Drosophila melanogaster: one gene and its partners. The protein of the gene in region 2 purifies or fractionates together with the protein of the main gene of each other region. This does not show direct contact. Each region holds a gene or a part of one and is shown on either strand. Other genes may lie near its edges. The genes, in order: Gbp2, CG9581, TwdlE and CG17032.

The links.
Region 1: the proteins of CG9581 (region 2) and Gbp2 purify together in Drosophila melanogaster (affinity purification with mass spectrometry, with the first as the bait; one large-scale study listed by BioGRID). This does not show direct contact.
Region 3: the proteins of CG9581 (region 2) and TwdlE purify together in Drosophila melanogaster (affinity purification with mass spectrometry, with the first as the bait; one large-scale study listed by BioGRID). This does not show direct contact.
Region 4: the proteins of CG9581 (region 2) and CG17032 purify together in Drosophila melanogaster (affinity purification with mass spectrometry, with the first as the bait; one large-scale study listed by BioGRID). This does not show direct contact.

What each region holds. Positions count from the first base shown.
Region 1 is NT_033778.4:17,135,584-17,140,152, forward strand, and holds Gbp2 (Growth-blocking peptide 2), read left to right. Parts: upstream 1-1,656; 5' UTR 1,657-1,708; coding exon 1,709-1,830; intron 1,831-1,907; coding exon 1,908-3,156; 3' UTR 3,157-4,012; downstream 4,013-4,569. Other genes in the region: Gbp1 (Growth-blocking peptide 1), read left to right, coding at 915-1,271; CG43103 (uncharacterized protein), read right to left, coding at 4,056-4,289.
Region 2 is NC_004354.4:20,167,506-20,171,580, reverse strand, and holds CG9581 (uncharacterized protein), read left to right. Parts: upstream 1-1,599; 5' UTR 1,600-1,735; coding exon 1,736-2,107; intron 2,108-2,164; coding exon 2,165-3,430; 3' UTR 3,431-3,539; downstream 3,540-4,075. Other genes in the region: CG9578 (uncharacterized protein), read right to left, coding at 203-451, 516-735, 823-1,157, 1,218-1,232; CG9577 (uncharacterized protein), read right to left, coding at 3,601-3,699, 3,766-4,075.
Region 3 is NT_033779.5:7,857,408-7,862,469, reverse strand, and holds TwdlE (TweedleE), read left to right. Parts: upstream 1-1,630; 5' UTR 1,631-1,769; coding exon 1,770-1,787; intron 1,788-1,868; coding exon 1,869-2,089; intron 2,090-2,349; exon of another isoform or gene 2,350-3,545; coding exon 3,546-3,900; 3' UTR 3,901-4,513; downstream 4,514-5,062.
Region 4 is NT_037436.4:15,956,863-15,961,160, forward strand, and holds CG17032 (uncharacterized protein), read left to right. Parts: upstream 1-1,980; 5' UTR 1,981-2,403; coding exon 2,404-2,521; intron 2,522-2,825; coding exon 2,826-3,646; 3' UTR 3,647-3,747; downstream 3,748-4,298. Other genes in the region: elgi (early girl), read left to right, coding at 61-203, 277-721, 777-942, 1,005-1,108; Brr2 U5 snRNP complex subunit, read right to left, coding at 4,132-4,298.

The DNA of each region.
Region 1 (4,569 bases), on a different chromosome or scaffold from region 2:
GGATGAATATCTTAGGGTCTTAGAAACTGCTATAAATTCTTAAAAATTGAACCTCCACAGATTTAGAACTTAGTGCGATATTGAATGAAGTGAATGTGTTTACTTGAGCTTCCTTTTAAAGTTATCCTCTCGAAGTGAATCCGAATCTGAATCAGAAAGTGAGACAGAGCCGGAAACTGAGACTTCAGAGACTCTGTCGATTGCAAATAAACAAAACCAACTTTACGATGGCAATTACGCGGCGTCTTCCCTGGCCGAAGATGCTATTTTTGTTTGTCTGGCTGTGTCTGGCATTGGATACAAATCGTGCAGCTCGAGTGTCTAGCGATCAGTTTGCGTTTCCCTCAGAGTCAGATAATACGAAACCAACCATTGCTAGCGATTCCACTAGTTTGGGTATTGAGCCTAGAATTGTCCTGGAAACAACGCGAATTTGTCCAAACGGCACTACTCTGACAGTAAAAGATCGTTGCCGGAAAATTGCCTAGATTAGAGCCATAAAAGTGGAAAGAAGTGAGAATTAATTGACAAAAATGTAAGAAATAAATTCAAAAGTATTGAGTGTAAATTATTGCATTGCAAATCAACAAAAAAAAAAAAAAACGTTCGAAATAGCTGGGCACCAACATATTTCATTAAAAAAAAGCTTTATGATAATTCAGTTCTGTCAGTGTAGACTAGCTGAGATATATCTGAAAAGCTTAACGCTACTCTTCTGCTTTGTTTACGTTTTGTTTTCATGGGAGAGCTTATGAGCTCCCTTGCCATTCTTATTGTTGTCTCCCAACGATTTGCTCCCATCATTTATCTGGTTTCGCTGGGAATGAAAATCTGAATGTAAATGGCCAGCCAGTTGTTTCCGCGCTCAGTCATCGAAGCTTCATCGTAGCAAACGAGCGTGCATCTCGGAGATAATGTTGATACGTATTAATCCATTGGTGCTGTGCATCCTACCGCTGGTCTTCCTCCTCACCGAGGCGAGAACACGGCCCAGTGGTAACGATCGCATCGTTTTTCCAAAGGATGACGACGATACCAGCTCGAGATTCACATACTCGACCACAACGACAACTGAGGAACCCGCATCCACAATAGCACTCCGTTTGGAAAGTACAAACAGCACAGAACAGATCACCAGCGGATCGGAGGAGCTGGTTAATGAAAACACCACTGTGCTGCCAGTTATAGACAACCGAATATTGCTGGAGACGACCCAAAAATGTAAGCCTGGCTTTGAGCTGTTCGGAAAACGATGCAGAAAGCCGGCGTAATCTGTAGTCGCTAAGATTGATGTTAGCCAATAAAGTGATATTTGTGTAGAACTTTTGATTGATTAATGGTTTTTTCGGTGACTATTATAAACGATTCGGAGGCAGACAAAAATACCCATAGAAAACCCAAATCACAATTGTGGGAGAAACGCTATTGGGGGAAACTTAGCGTCGTGTAAAACGCAGTAATTTTAGTTTGGTGGCCATCACTGTGAGTCAGTGTCTAACTCAAACAATTCCCGGTGCATTCAGCTGCATCAGTTATTCCCTACTCTTCTGCTATGTAATTTGATGCCTTATCTGCTGTCATGAACTTGGCTTATCAGCGGCTCATAATAAATACTAAACTCGGTTAGATCGTCTGTTCTCGACTCGACAGCGCTGCTCAGTCTGTTTTGAATATTCAACGCTGCCGTTGGGTCGATTTCGTGTCGAAAATGTTTTTGCAACTCTTATCTATAAGGTTGGCTATGTCACTGATCCTTTTAATCAGTGGACAATGGACTTCAGCTCGTCCCCAGAATCCTTACTACGTGGAAAACGGCGGACATGGATATCCGTGAGTATTTAAAATTAATTAATAAGATTGTTATGATTTTATAATATTTGTATCACTAATACTTTTTTTCTATTAAGGAACCATCATCGCCACCATGGTCATCACGTACATGGGTCAGGATATGGCCCAGGATCCATTGGACCACCTCCCTTTGTCTTCGGTCGTTTTCCACCGCCTCCTTCGTATTATCCAGATAATCAACCATCAGGAGGTCGTCAACCGTATTATCCGAACGTCGGTGCAGTTCAAGGACAACCTGGCAGTCAATTTCACCAACATGGAGGTGGTTTTCATAGAGGACAACAGGAATATCCCTACCCTGTAGGTGATTTTAACAGGGGACATCCAGGCCTCCAGCAACCGGGTGGAGATTTCAACAGGGGCCAACCAGGTTTTCAGCAGCCAGGAAATGAATTCAATAGACCACAACCATCTGGAAGGGCGCCAGGACATCAACAATCTGGCAGCCATGAGGAGCTACCCACCTACCCTCGAGGATTGGAACCCCAGCAGCCGGGTGGTGATCCAAATACCCTACAGCCTCGACCTGGCCAAAACCCTGGTGGATTCGAACAGCCAAATGAAAATGCTGGCGGATTCCAACAGTCAGGCCAAAATAATGGGGGGTTCCGGCAACCAAGCCAAAATTCTGGAGGATTCCAACAGCCAGGCCAGAGTACTGGAGGATTCCAGCAACCAGGCCAGAGTTCTGGGGGATTCCAACAGCCAGGCCAGAGTACTGGGGGATTCCAACAGCCAGGCCAGAGTACTGGAGGATTCCAACAGCCAGGCCAGAGTACTGGAGGATTCCGGCAGCCAGACCAGAGTTCTGGAGGATTCCAACAACCAGACCAGAATTCTGGAGAGTTTCAACAACCAGGTCTAAACCAGGGACGGAAACCTGGTACTTCTAATAATTCCATACAACCGCGTCCCGGAAGCGCAGATGAAGACTTTTCCGACTTCAATTTCCAGTCCCCCAAGACTTTGCAGCCTCGACCCGGCCAGGATTACGAAACTGCGGGATCTGGCGGAGCGCAGACAATTCAACCGATTCCCGGGCATCCGCAGTCTTCTGTGATCCAACCTATTCCAGGGCGAGCTCAATCTTCTGACAATGTTGACCAAAACATCAACGACCTCTTCAACACCCATGATTTTCTGTCACCAGAATTGAGCACAGCGCCTGGAGCCAACCGAGATCCCAAGTCGGATGCTGAGGAAGCAAGTCCAGAGTCGGTAAATCAGCGCAGTCTCTTCAACCTGGATCCCAAGTGTGCAGAAGGACTCAAGCTCATGGCAGGACGTTGCAGGAAGGAAGCCTAGGGAATTCGGATTCAAATGAAATTCTGATTAATACTGTTTCATGTTCACAATACATATTTCATTGTGTCATTAAATCTGTCATTATGTGTAATAATTGAGACATACAATTTTTGGGGCATTTTATTCAACTGATAAGGTTGTTTATGCAAGATTGGAAGTACAAATTTCCCAGAGATTACCTCAGCATGCTCTTCGGTAAAAAAATGACTTCGTAGTAGCTTACGTATACCACTGTAACAGCTTTTGAACATCACAAATTGTATTAATCAGCTGAATGCAATTAAGCTGCAATACGTTATCATTTTTCTTGAAATATATCAATTTAGAAAACGTTATCTCTACAATATTGAATTACAGTTGTATAATTACAAAGCTGTGTGTAATTGGTTACATTGACTAATCAAATAAATGGAATGCGCATTTTTATCAATATCTTGAAGAGCACACACATAACAGGGAAAATCCCTACATAAAAGCTAACTTTTTTGATCGCCGTAGAACATTAGTTTTGAAGCGATTGTTGTACGAAGTGCATTGTATGGAAATGGCGCTCCAACTTAAAAGATGGCTATATCTGATCACTTGGACGGCGATACAACTACTTCTTCAAGTGGAAAAGAAATGCTCGCCTGGTTTTCAACTGTACCTAGATCGATGCCGAAAACCAGCGTAAACAGATAAAATATAACAATGTTATTAAACAATATTTCATCAGTGCCAACAATCAGTTGATTAACTTTAATGAACCTGTACTTATATAAACCGAATGTGTCGTATTTTTTAAATATGTATGTGAGAATTGCAAGTATTTATATAGAATTTATTTAAGTATCAATAAAAACACAGCTTGTAGCACGTTCTGATATTGAACTTTAAATCGATCTTCAGAGCTTGTCTTCCTAGGCTATCCTACGACACGTGTGATGTGGACCCGTGCGTATGTACCCCTTGGGACACAGCGATGGATCGATGTTGAAGATGCTCTGCACCAAAATATCCGAGGCTCCCGGTATATCGGGCTGACTAATAGATACTCCGCTGGGTTGGTTCTTCGGAAGGGGCGGCATGGCCATCGTCCACTGCCAGCTCAGCATTAGTAGGCCTACTACGATCAGCACGGATCTTGATAGCATCTTCGCGGTTTTCTCCAGGTGACTCGACTACTAGCCTCCGGCTTGGGAACTGCGTTACTGAATCTAGCTTGGCTTATATGTTGCTGATTTCTCAGTCTAAAGCTGGCAAAGCTTTTATCTGGAGGGCTTTCGGAGAGATTGCGAAAGCCAAAGCCACTCTCTCTGATCGTTTTTAAAAGACAATACTTAAAATTTACCAAATGTATTAACTTGACCAGTAAATATTGGTTAGCCATCAGTACATACATATGCGGAGAAACTTGTATTTTTAAAAGTAACC
Region 2 (4,075 bases):
TGGCAGCTGGTCCGCCCAATATTTTATTCGTGTTAATAGCTTTGATCGTAGTGTGCCTTTTAGGAAAATCGCTTTTAATGTCGTCTGCGCATGCGCACACTGTTGGCAATAAATAAACGCATATAGCAGCAGTTGTAACCAATGCGACGACTGACATAAACCTAGAGATCTGGGATCTGGCATCTAGCATCGGACATCGGGACTACTTAAAGAAGAGCTTGTGCAACTGCTTGGACTTCACGGGCACAAATTCTTGCATTTCATCCGGGTTGGTCCAGAAGGCCACACAGTTTTGAAGCTCAGTGCAAGGCGCCTCCCGATGGATGTACTCTTTCAGGATAAAGTCGTTCTCGATCTCGTGGTGGAAGCGGGTGTCGTGCATCCGGATTAGCACGTGGTCCACGCGCAGAAAGTGGCGCAAAAGGATGAAGAAGCCAGAGGGCATCACGCGCTGTGCCAGAAAGAGTTGGGCTTCTTCGATAAGGGCTCTATAATTTGTATTTATCAGCACTTACGATTCGCACGCTCATCACCGATATTCCGTGGTCGTGCAGCTCATCCTCGAACAGAGTTAAATCGTGGTAGAAGATGATGTTCTCGCGCTGCATCAGCTTGAACTTGTTCAGCGTCTGATTCGTGGTCTCCGATCGCACTTTTTCGTTCATGGTGCCCTGGTAGGTGGAGGTGAATGTCCAGTCGAAAGGCTTGAACTTCTCCTCCATTGTCTGCTCGTTACTGGAGTATAGAATTCAATCATTTGGGCGATTTATAGAGGAACAACAGTAGAACGATCCATATCCCAATCTCAATGGGAGTACCCACCGCGTTTCCCGCCACTCCTGAGCACAAGCGACCTCCAGCGGCTGCTTCCCATTGTCCACCAGCGCCAGCGCGTCCATGGGGCAGAACTCGAGAGTGGCGCCGTCCTTGTGCTGTAACACCAGCCGATTCTTGTGGAACACCATGTCGGGCAGGTGGGGCAGCTGCAGGGAGTGCTGGTAGTGGCAGAGGTCGCAGCGGTCGGCCGAGTCCTTGGGACAGCACTTGGCGGTGCCCAGTTGGCAGCTGCTCTTCAGGATGTGCGACTTCTCATACTTGATGGCCCAGTCGTGGAACTGGATGAACTCGCTGTCCACCGGCAGCCGGGGCACAAAGCACTGCAGGACGGGATTACATTGAGTGTTTGGCCATTGGAACTGGGCTATACCAACACATACCTCCTCCATGGACATTCTAAAGATATGTCAAATGATTTCAAAGTGTCTGTCTAAGTCGAAAATACTGTTCCAAAGCCCCCTATTGATCCTGTTAAAAATTTTTGTTATTATGTTAGGGATGCCAATGTCGATTACTTCTAAAGCTTAGCGGCGGTACTATCGAGGTTTTTCGATTGCAGCGCAATATTTAAATGCTATGGGGCGAAAGCAATCAAGTTGGCGTACTTGAGTGGATTCATAAGCTTATATAAGCCGTGGTTGTACACAATTCGAAATGAATCGCGTTTTTTGAAAGCTGCTATAGGTAAGGCGAAACTACATTCACATAGTTGTATAATTTTACAACGATAGTTATCGACATCTGTCAATCGGCGGGACTCTTGTTAAGCAATCGTCTGGCAACCCATGTGTTTTGTTTTTATCCAGGATCGTTAGTGTTTTTAACAGTTCCGTTTTCTGATGTGTATAATATTGTGAAGATTTTAGTTGGCAACCCAAGAACCGGAACCGGCAGCACGATGAATATCCTAAGGCGCCTGGACCGCCTGATCGCTCCCACCGTCCGCCGCAGCGCCGCCATTTCCACCAGCCTGTGGCCACACCGCTGGATGAGCCAGTCCACCACGATCTCCCCAGGAAGTCCCAGCAGCAAATCGACAGTAAACGCGGCCGAGGTGCGTGGCGTGGCTCAGATTCTGCGCCAGCAAAAGGGAAACCTGGGACAGCCCACCAGCGTCTCGCATCCACATCTTATCCAGCCGGACGAGCTGGTTCCGGGCGTGGAGCTGACCGAGATCAAGGAACGCCGTTCGCAGCTGATGCAAAACATCCGCGCCTATGCACGCAGTTTCGGCGGCGAGTTCAATGGGCACTCGAGTTCTTGTCACATGGTGAGGACCTGCAGGCTACAAAGAGAAGCAAAATATATAAACTTGAATCTCTGACAGCTCGTTCTGGGCGCCGCCTCCAAGAAGTATATGAGCGGCAAGATCCCGTACGTGTTCCGCCAGAACTCGGACTTCTACTACCTAACTGGCTGCCTAGAGCCGGACGCCGTGCTACTGCTGACCATCGACGAGGCCCAGAACGTGCAGTCCGAGCTGTTTATGCGTCCCAAGGACCCGCATGCCGAGCTGTGGGATGGTCCGCGCACTGGGCCCGAGCTCGCGGTGCCGCTTTTCGGAGTCACTGAGGCCCATCCGCTGTCCCAGCTGGAGGCGGTGCTGGCCAAGCGCGCAGGCGCCCTAAAACCACACATCTGGTTCGATCAGAAGAGCACCGACCTGCCGTCCCTGGCGGAGAACATGCTGCGATTGAGCGGCAATCAGCAGCGTCCGCTGCTGCCGGCCTACACTTTCCTAGAAGCCATGCGCCTGCTTAAGTCCCGCGACGAGATGCAGTTAATGCGGCGCACCTGCGACATAGCCTCACGCTCGTTCAACGAAGTGATGGCCGAGACCCGGCCAGGTCAGTCGGAGCACCATCTGTTCGCCGCGATTGACTACAAGTGCCGCATGCGCAACGCCAGCTACCTGGCCTACCCGCCGGTGGTGGCTGCCGGTAAAAACGCCACGGTGATCCACTACGTGGCCAACAGCCAGTTGTTGGGTCAGCAGGATCTCGTGCTGATGGACGCCGGCTGCGAGTATGGCGGCTACACCAGCGACATCACACGCACCTGGCCGGCGAGTGGGGTTTTCACGGAGCCGCAGCGCACACTGTACGACATGCTGCACCAGCTGCAGGAGGAGATTATTGGCAACGTGATGAAGCCGGGCGGCGAGACGCTCGACCAGCTGTTCGAGACCACCTGCTACAAGCTGGGCAAGTACTTGCAGGAGATCGGGCTGGTGGGCAAGTCGTTCAGCGAGTACAAGGAACTGGTCAGCCAGGGCTACCGCTTCTGTCCGCACCACGTCTCCCACTACCTTGGGATGGACGTGCACGACACACCGCACGTGCCACGCAACACACGCATCGTGCCCGGCATGGTCTTCACCGTTGAGCCGGGCATCTACATTGGCCAGGATTGCGGCGACGTGCCGCCCGAGTTCCGGGGCATCGGCATCCGCATCGAAGACGATCTGCTCATCAACGAGAACGGCCACGTGGAAGTTCTAACTGAGGCGTGCGTCAAGGATCCACGCGCCCTGCAGGAGCTTTGCAAACAGCAACAGAAGAACCCCGGTGCCTCATCCGCGGAGGCGTTTTAAGAGCTCACAACGAAAACCAAATTCCTAGTCATAAGCCTTTCATTCTCCCGACAACCTTATGAGCTGATTTGGGTCCTAAAGTAAAGGCAGATGCTGTATTTATAAATGCACACATGGCAAATACATTTTAAATTCTGTCAGATTGCAGATTACATATTACAGGTTACCGATCACAGCTTGGCGAACACTGGCTTATCGTCCTTCGTCAACTGGGCGGCCACAGCCTGGGCGAAGTCCTCCGACAGCAGGTTGAGCTTGTTCAGCAGGAGCTGCAAGGTGTGAGGCGTGAGGCGTGGTTAGCTCGTGCAAATTCGTTGAGATATTAGGATACCCACAATGTGATCCAAGCCCTCTTGATTGGTGTGCTCCAGGGAGTACACGAGGCTCTCCTTGGTTGTCTTTACGGCGACGGGACTCTTGCTAGCGATGAGCTCGGCCACGGCCAGGGCTCCGGTCAGCAGGGAATCCTTGTCTGGGAAGAGGCGACTCACCAGGCCCGAGGAGTGGGCCTCGGCGGCCTCGAATTTGCGCCCAGTGAAGCACAGCTCGCGGGCGAGGGACTGACTGCCCACTGCCTTGGGCAGACGCTGCAGGGTGCCCACGTCGGCGGCCATGCCGATGTCCACCTCCTTGACCTGGAAAAAG
Region 3 (5,062 bases), on a different chromosome or scaffold from region 2:
CATAATTTTATCCATCACTCTTCTCTAACGCTAATTGTCATGGCCGGGGCGTAAATTATTAAATAAGAAAAGCAACCCAAAAACAACACTAAAACTTGCCAGAGATAAAAAAAAAAACAAATTGAAGAAATTCAAAATATTGCAAAAACAAAAAAACCAGAGGAGAAAAATTAAATAAAATGCCTGTACAGATGGGTCGACCCAACAAGAGCGTGAAGCTCATTATGAAGCTTCGTGTCCAAAACGCGGACAGCAATTACAAAAGCAACATAGCCAGTAAAACAATAACAATAACAGTAACAATAATAATAACAACAAGCCAGGCCAAGTCAACTCAAGCCAACACACAACACAACCCAAAACACCGAAAGAAGCTGGCTAACAAAAGGCCGAAAGAGCATGAAGAAATGAAATAAAACCAACACCAGATTCAGTCCCACTCCAGAGCACAAAACAAAGCTTAGCCCCATCCCATCTGATCCCAAACCATACCATACCATACTATACCAACCCATTCCCCAAAACGGCTGGCTAAATGAGAGTGAATCCACATTCATTGAAATTGAAAGTGAATCGTGCCACACGATCCGATCCAGAGTCCAGACTTGGTTACGAGTCCACTGCGATTGGATCCTCTAAATGACCAAAATAACAATTTACACACATTAGCTACATATATATAATAAAGCACATATATATATATATTTATATATAAATAACAGAAATCAGAGATTTTAGGAAAAACCATGTTTCTTTGGCAATCAGTTCGAAGGAGTTGTACTCTACAGCGAATCTATACAAATGTTTTAAATGGGCGAGGGAAAAAAATGCACAAGACATATTTATAAATTAAATATTACAAAATATGACTTGCCTTTAATAATTAAACTATCTAAGCTAAGAGAGGCATTTTCTTTTAATGATAAAAGAACAAAAGGCGTGATAAATTAATAATAAGAGAACAGATATTCTCAGATATTCTTAAATTAAGCAGGAAATCGTTAAAGCTGAGGTTACCGCAAAAAAGGCTTTTATTTTCTTGCCTTGAAAATAATGGACCCTTGAAATAAGCTACATTCCAGCAGCTAAGTGTCTTCAGAAATAAAAACCATAAAAAACTATTTGATGGCCTTGCTGCCTCAAGCTTTATTTTACATACATACACTGCACCTTTCAGGTTCCTTATTTTCCCCATGAAAATAATCCTAGTTGGGCAGAAAAACAGAAAAAAAAAAACAACCAACCACATGCTCGAAAAACCACGAAAAAGAAGTAGTTAATCGAAGGAGGAAAGCCAAAGCCAAGAAACGGTCAGCAGACGTTGCAGTTTCGGTTGGCTTTGCGGTCGCCGTTTGCATCGCAGCCAGGAGCTGCAGCCTCAGTTTCCCCACCAGATCATGACTGGCCAAACTTTGGACTTGGCTTAAACATTTCAATTTCTTCATGGCTACATGCTGCTGCCGCTCTTTGCCAACTGCTCAGCCAACTTGGCCGACTGCTCGGTCGACTGCGGCAGCAGCTGAGGCAGCTGAGGCGGCTAAAGCAGCAGCGGTCTTGATCGTCGTCTTGAATTTTACTTAATTTTTATTTCACGCGCTGCGCTGCTATAAAAGAAACTGCAACAATCGTTGTGGCATGCAGTAAGAGGTTCCGCGTCGAAGCAGCACCACATTGCCAGTAACCAGTAACCAGTAACAGCCAGTAGCACCTAGCCACCTGGAGCAGTGACAAAACCCGAAACGGATATACCCGAAATAAGCCACCCGAAAATGCATTCCAGTTGTGTGGTATGATCTTGTGACCAAACCGACCAAGTGGCCGTGATGGACATCGCTTAATGGTGTGTTCTCCTCCGATCTCGTTCGCAGTTAGTGGTCCTCATGGCCCTGGCTGCCCTGGTGGCCGCTCGTCCAGAGCCGCCTCGTGACTCGTACAGTGCGCCCCCCTCCAGCAGCTACCAGCCAAGTGGACCCAGCGGAGGCTACGGCGCCCCTGCGCCCCAGTACGGACCTCCCCAGCAGGCGCCGGTGATTCACAAGCACGTCTACGTCCATGTACCTCCACCAGAGCCGGAATACCAGGCACCCAGGTGAGTGGCAGGATCAAGGATCCTCTAAGCCAACATAAGTTCCAAAGATCGCGAGTAGAATAGGGTTCCCAATAAACCTATTCTTCAACCAAGTTCCGGAAAAGGATCTATGCATACTCGTTTAAAATTTTTGTCTATACTAGATGATAATTATATCAGACCTAAAAATGGAAAAAATCTTTAAAAATGTTATTTTAGACACATTCAGTTTAATCACAAAAGATACGTATTTAAGAGTTTAAGTAATAGTAAAATTATTTATTTTGCATAGTTTCACAAAATAGAAATCGCACTACACTCCCAACACAGTGAGTGAGTGAACAATCGAGAATTTCTTCTGATAAGCCGTACAATATAAACGTACATCCTGCGGTTTTTTTCATTTCACAACGTAATCAGTTCAAATTATTCACACCCCTTATCCAGCACACTTTTTTTTCGACTTGCGTGATTGTGAGCGGTTACAAACGATCTCGCTTTATTTGTCTTGTTCCACTTAAGATTGGAAAAATATGGGGAAAAAACACATTGTTGTGTTATGAGTATATAATCCAAGGCACTTATGCAGATTCTCTCACAATTCATCGGCGTAAACCAGGCAGTGCCGTCAACTCCCAAAGATAATAACTAGACAAATGTTGCAAGAGACCAGCCGGCAATCATCTAATCCAGCTCAGGGCCCTTTTCCACAGCTGTTGCCACATTTCCAGGGTATTTAGAGGGTCGCTTAAACGGAGGAGGAACATTATTTAATACCCGCGAAAACGAAAGCCATCCAACTTTCCTCTCTTTTCGCTGATACAATGTTTTCTGTCGTCTTCTGTCTGTTTTCAATTGGAGTTGGAAGCGATGTTAATTACCACGAGAGGGGAATGATATGGCTTTGCAGACCGCCAAACCGTGACTAAAACGTTACCTAAGCTCGCCGCAGCACTTGTACTCGTATATATCTCAGTACCATTTCCAAGCAAATTATCAGGCGCAGAGGGACAGGAACTCGATTACCATAGGTAGCTTTATGTAAACCCTCGTCTCGAGGCGGTTGTTGTGACAATCGCTGTCATCGTCACAATAGTCATCATCTTCATCTGATTAGTAAAACTGACAAGCAGCTGCAGTGGGTTCAACGTTGTCGGGAGGTCACCATTTTCGGGAGGTCACCATTTATGGGCATGCCATTTGCATGCACCTCAAAGAGAAACTCCTTTCTCCCGCATCGCGGTATTTGTTCGTTCAACAAGGCAAGGTTATAGGAAGTGTGGAAAGTCATTCCAGCCTGGCCGTGTGTAATTGAAATTTTTTTATTCAGTATGTAAATTTTTACAAGCCGGAAGCAAAAAAAGTTGCGTTATATGAGGATGTGGTGTCTTACTTTACCCATAGAATTCCTAAGAAATTCCTTAAATACAGATATAGCAGAACCTTTATTTAAATACATTTTTAAATATTTTCCCAGGAAACCCCTTTACGTGCCACCTCCGCAGAAGCACTACAAGATCGTCTTCATCAAGGCGCCATCTCCACCAGTACCGACCGCCCCTGTAATACCGCAGTTCCCACAGAACGAAGAGAAGACCCTGGTGTACGTGCTAGTCAAGAAGCCGGAGGAGCAGCCGGAGATCATTATCCCAACGCCAGCTCCCACCCAACCCAGCAAGCCGGAGGTGTACTTCATCCGCTACAAGACCCAGAAGGAGGAGACCGGACCCTATCCCAACAGTGTGGCGCCTCCAGCGCCCGAGTACGGAGCTCCAGCTGCCCCGCCCGCACCCTCTGCTCCCAGCAGCTCGTATGGGGCACCATCCCACTAGGCGATCCAGTCCAACCCGAATACCGATTTGCTTATCTCAACCCAACTCATGGCAAACTGCATATCTTATGTGTATTGTATTATTTTCTGTTTCAAGGACCTTAACGCGTGACAAAGTTTACCAAGCAACGAATCTCCCCCATCCCCTCTCCACACCCAGCTCATAGGATTATTACTCCTATAGATGAGTAATTCTTATCTCTGATGTTGTTTCTACCTGATGTACGAGAAGTATGTTTTCCATCTAGGCTGTTTGTTTCAAATTGTTTGTTTAGTCTTAAGTCTAGGTCTTTAAGCGAACGATGCGTTATACACTCACACAAAACACTCGAAACACTCACTGCGAGCTAGCCTTAGTTATCGATAGAGATATCGATCCTGATACCGATTAACGATATATACGTGGTACATGATTTTCATCACAAACGCATTTTCAAGTAGGCAATTTATTCCAATTTCATATTGCACATTTCGCACACGATTTGTCATTAAATAGAATGTGCGAAGCACTCGAAATGCAACAAAAAAAAATGAAGATTAAAATGATACTCAAGTATATAATGTTAAAAACACAAAACATCAATGGCTAAATAAAAGTTTAACGAATTATCTGTACAAGATGGATTTCTTTTTGTATGTTTCACATTGCAAGTCTTAACATATGTGTACATATATTTATATATATCTGTTTACTATACATTTTCATTTGCCTCGCAAATGTATTTGAAATCAGAAGTACAAGAAGCAACCCACATGCCACCGTTATGTATAGAAACGCAACGCTGATCTACATGTTCGTATAGTGGCTCTCCAGGATTCCATTTCAAAAAAGGTGCTCTCTTTCCGGAGGACACAGATATGAAAACGCCCTTTTCAGCCAGATCACTAATGCCAATCATATAAGTGTTGTCTTTGCTTAGTTGCGAAACGATAGCATTAAAGTCTGCTTCATTTATAATTGAGGCTAGATTACCTCCCATCTTTTGACATGCGCTCAAAGCACTGGTCCAATTTTGTTGGACTATGTCTTCGATGTGCAAATATCTCGATCCGATTCGCTTGAACCTATGTAAAATATTTATTTTCGCAGACATATTCTTCAGCGACGTCGTTATACTAGTCAATGCTTCCTGTAGGTCAGATAGTTGACCCTCCATCTTAAG
Region 4 (4,298 bases), on a different chromosome or scaffold from region 2:
CACACCGCGAATCATACATATGCTTTAAATACAAACAATCATACATATCTACCGATTCAGGCCGTGATGTGCGAGCACGCCTTCTGCCGCGGATGCATTAACGAGTGGCTAACCCGCCAGCCCACTTGTCCGGTGGATCGAAATTCCCTGACTACTGCCAACTTGCGGGCAGTGCCTCGCATATTGCGCAACCTACTGTCCAGGTGAGAAAAACCCAACGCCTTCTACTCTGTGAACCTTGTGGACTCTAACTAATCTTTGACCCTTGCCAACCAGACTGTCAATCACCTGTGACAATGCGCCTTATGGCTGCACGGCTGTTCTCAAGCTAGACGCCTACAATTCCCATTTGGACGAATGCATTCACAATCCGAAGCGACCATTTCCCTGCGAGAAGGGATGCGGCTTTGACATACCCAAGGATGAGCTAAAGGACCACAACTGCGTGCGGGAGCTGCGCACTTTAATTGTCAAGCAGACGGAAAAAATGGGTGAGCTCAAATCGGAGCTCACCGACCAGCAGCTGACTATCAACGAACTGAAGCGCGAGCTGCAGCTATTCAAGGACTTTATGCGTGCCATGCGCGTCTCCAATCCTGCGATGCGGGCCATAGCCGACCAGATGGAGCGCGACGAGGTGATCCGCTGGAGCAGCACACTGCCCCGGGCCAGGGTTACGCGCTGGGGGGGAATGATCTCTACGCCCGACGATGCACTGCAGGTGAAGCCCAAATTCTAAATTTTTTTAAAACGTTAACTCACTTTTCATTTGATAGCTCATGATCAAGCGCGCTTTGTCCGAGTCGGGCTGTCCGCCACACATCCTGGATAGTCTTATGGAGTTCTGCCACGAGCGACGTTGGCCCCGTGGGCTCAGTTCGCTAGAGACACGTCAAACCAATCGTAGGATCTACGACAACTATGTGTGTCGACGCATTCCAGGTAACAATTTTAAACATAAATATTAACAACAAGGCTTTATCTTTAAACTTACTCTTCCGCAGGCAAGCAAGCTGTGCTCGTTTTGAGCTGCGACAACCTCCACATGACTGAGGACGTCATGATCGATCCAGGTTTGGTCATGATCTTCGCCCATGGCATCGAGTAGGCCCTCAGCCGCTGATTAACCACTTATCCTAGGTTAAATGCTAACTATATCGAACAGTGCTCAGTTTTGTTGATTCCTTAACGTAAGAGTAAGCATTAAAAACAATATTGTAAGGAAAAACTCGCAAAACAAACCATTCAAGCGCCTCATGACGACTTTCAAGTTGTACAAAAAATATATATTACTTTCGGTTCATTGTGTTTTATCCATTTAGTTAGTACGCAAATTCGTATACATCATCAAGTCGTTCGCATATACCCAATATTACATGTTTGATTAAGCGATCTCAACAAATGTCCCTTTGTTATCGTTCACTTCATTCTCATTTTGATGGAAGGAAGCTGTGAATGTCCTAATTCGCGTTTAAATTCGTATTGCACAACTTACTTAAATTTCTGAAATATTTGTCAATACTTTTAGATTAAATGTGGAAAGAGTAATAAACAGTTTATTTAACTAATGTATTCATGGAAGAATTTATTACTATAATAAACCATTTGCTTTTATAATTGATTTCTTTCAATTACGAATTTAAATTGTAATAGTATGTTACAACAAAATTCCATTTATTCATTTATTTAAGCACTCCCATGAATTATTTTTCTGAAAGATTGTCTAGCCTTTTAGATTAGAAATAGAAATAAAAGTGATTATTCCAACTAAACCGATAATTCTAGCCTCTTATCAGCTGAAAGGGCAGACAAGCGTCTGCCTTTGGAAATCCTACACAAATGTTCACTGGGATGCCCCCCACTTGCAAGCACCAACTCATTCGGGGAGATCTGTCCGCCTCCACTCTGTGGACCCGTAAAAGTTCTGGACAACATCTGTTTCCCGAAATGGAAATCGAAAAGCAACAAAAACCAAGCAGCAAGCAACCAAGCAACAAAATAAACAAAAGAAAACCAAACTAGTTCCTCCACGAGCTTTGGCCGCCAACCGGTTTCGGCTTTTGTACACCCGTTTTGTTTTTTTCCTACATAATACAACATTATACAAAGTTTGCATCGGTTACATGTGCCAAAAATCGTTGGATTATACAAGCCAGTTTTGGTTTTCAATTTTTTTCTTCGTATTTGCCGAACATCTTGAATATTGATAGAAGCAATTAGCGCCATCCAGACCAAAGGGGCAGCCCCCTACGGCGATTGAAAGTGAGAGTTGATCGGCCGATTGGCGGCGGAGCGGACAGGCTGAAATATATACATCCAACAGTTGATCGCGAAGCGGCGCAGCCAACGGACGTGTCCAGCTGCGATCTCCAGAAGGCAACCAATCTAATCGAAGAACACGAAATGAATGTATCAATTCCGGTGCTATTTGTGGCCCTCATCTGTCTGGCAGCTGCGTCGGCGTTTCCTCAACTGAGGCAGCGCAACGAGAAGCAGGTTCAAACCGGCGATGATGATTTGCGTAAGTAAAATTCTTAACGCTCGAAAATCTTACAATTCTTAGATTGTAAAACTTCCTAAATACATTTGGAAAATACTTTTCAAATCTGAAATTCTGTAAATATATATAAATACATATCTATCTATAAATTTTTGTGTATACATATGTACACATTCTGTAGTGCGAACAAAGCGTAAAATATTTAGTAAAATAATAGATTGCTCCGAATTTTTTAATAATAAGCTTGCCGATTATTCAGCTTCTATTAATTAAATTAAAATAAATATAAAATATTTTATAAAGTATATACCATTGCATTTTACAGCTTCCAAGGGCGCCACTATCGAGGAAGTAGTGGTGGAATCAGCCTTGTACATCAAACCGAAGTCTAATCCGCAGGTGCGTCGCGTCCGTTCGGTCCTGGATCAAATATCCGGAATCCAGGCCGCTCACAAGAGGGTGAAGCGTCAGTTTGGGCGACAATTTGGTGGTCAGTATGCTGGAAATCCCGGCTTCGGTGGCGGATTCGGTGGAGAGCCTGGTTTTGGAGGTGGATTCGGCGGTAATCAAGGATTTGGAGGCAACCAGGGATTCGGAGGTAATCAGGGTTTCGGCGGTAATCAGGAATTCGGCGGTAACCCAGGATTCGGAGGAAATCCCGGATTCGGCGGTAATCAAGGTGGAAAAGTTCAGGCAGGTACATCGGCCGGCGCTGGGGGAACCAAAGCGGGTGTTGATGTTGGTGCCGGACCAGATGGCGGCAATGCCAATGCCAACGTCGAGTTAAATCCGCTGGGACCACTCGGACCCAGTGGTTACAACCAGGAGCAGGCCGCATCCAACGGAGCTGCCCACAGCAACTACAACAATGGACTCAACTCAGGATCCTCGGCCGCCAGTGGGCAGGCTCAGGGCTTCCAGTCGCAGAGTGCCAATGGATCATTCGGTGCCTCCTCCGCAAGCACGGCCACTCAGTCCCAGAACACCAGCCCCTTTGGATCCAATAATGCGGCAGGTGCTTCGCTGAGTCAGGTTTACCATCTTCCCAATGGACAGACAATAAACTTTAGCTCCACGAACAGCTTCGCTAATGGAGGAGCCAATCGTGGCAGTAGCCATGGATCGGCAGTTTCTGTCAGCCGCTAAAAGCCAAGTTCACCATACAGGGAAAATACCTCCAAGTTAATCTATTTGTCAGCAATCCTATGTGCAAATATCTAAAAAATCCAAATAAATATTTATGATTGAATTGAATTTGAATGAATAATTTGAATGATTTTTTTAAAATCTAAACGGTTGCATTTTGATGATCCAGATTACAAATTACAACAAACTTGAATTGTTCCATACGAAATTTAAAAGCTTAAGACAATATAAGAATTGGCACTGTTGACTACAAAATATTTAGATTCTTGGTATCAACCAGCGAAAGAAAGTTGAAAGGTTTTTTTTATTTTGTTTTTTTTTTTTTTTGTACTACTTTATATAATTATCCTCAGTGTATCCTTGTACAATTTGGTTTCTACTAAAGTAGTACACGAATTTATTATTGCTACAATTAATGCGCGTAAATTGTAAAATGATTGATTTTCATTTGTGCAAACATGCCCAACTGATGATCCTAAAGAAAACTAATCTGACTCGCTTTCGCTTTCCGACTGGAAGTCACCCACTTCGATGGAAAACTTGTACTCCTGATCACAACCCAAATAGGAATCGCTCATGTAGTACAGAGTGTAGTCGTGTTTGCCCGGACTAGGTGCCACAAAGTCCAGCTTGACCTTTGCCTTTTGCTGCA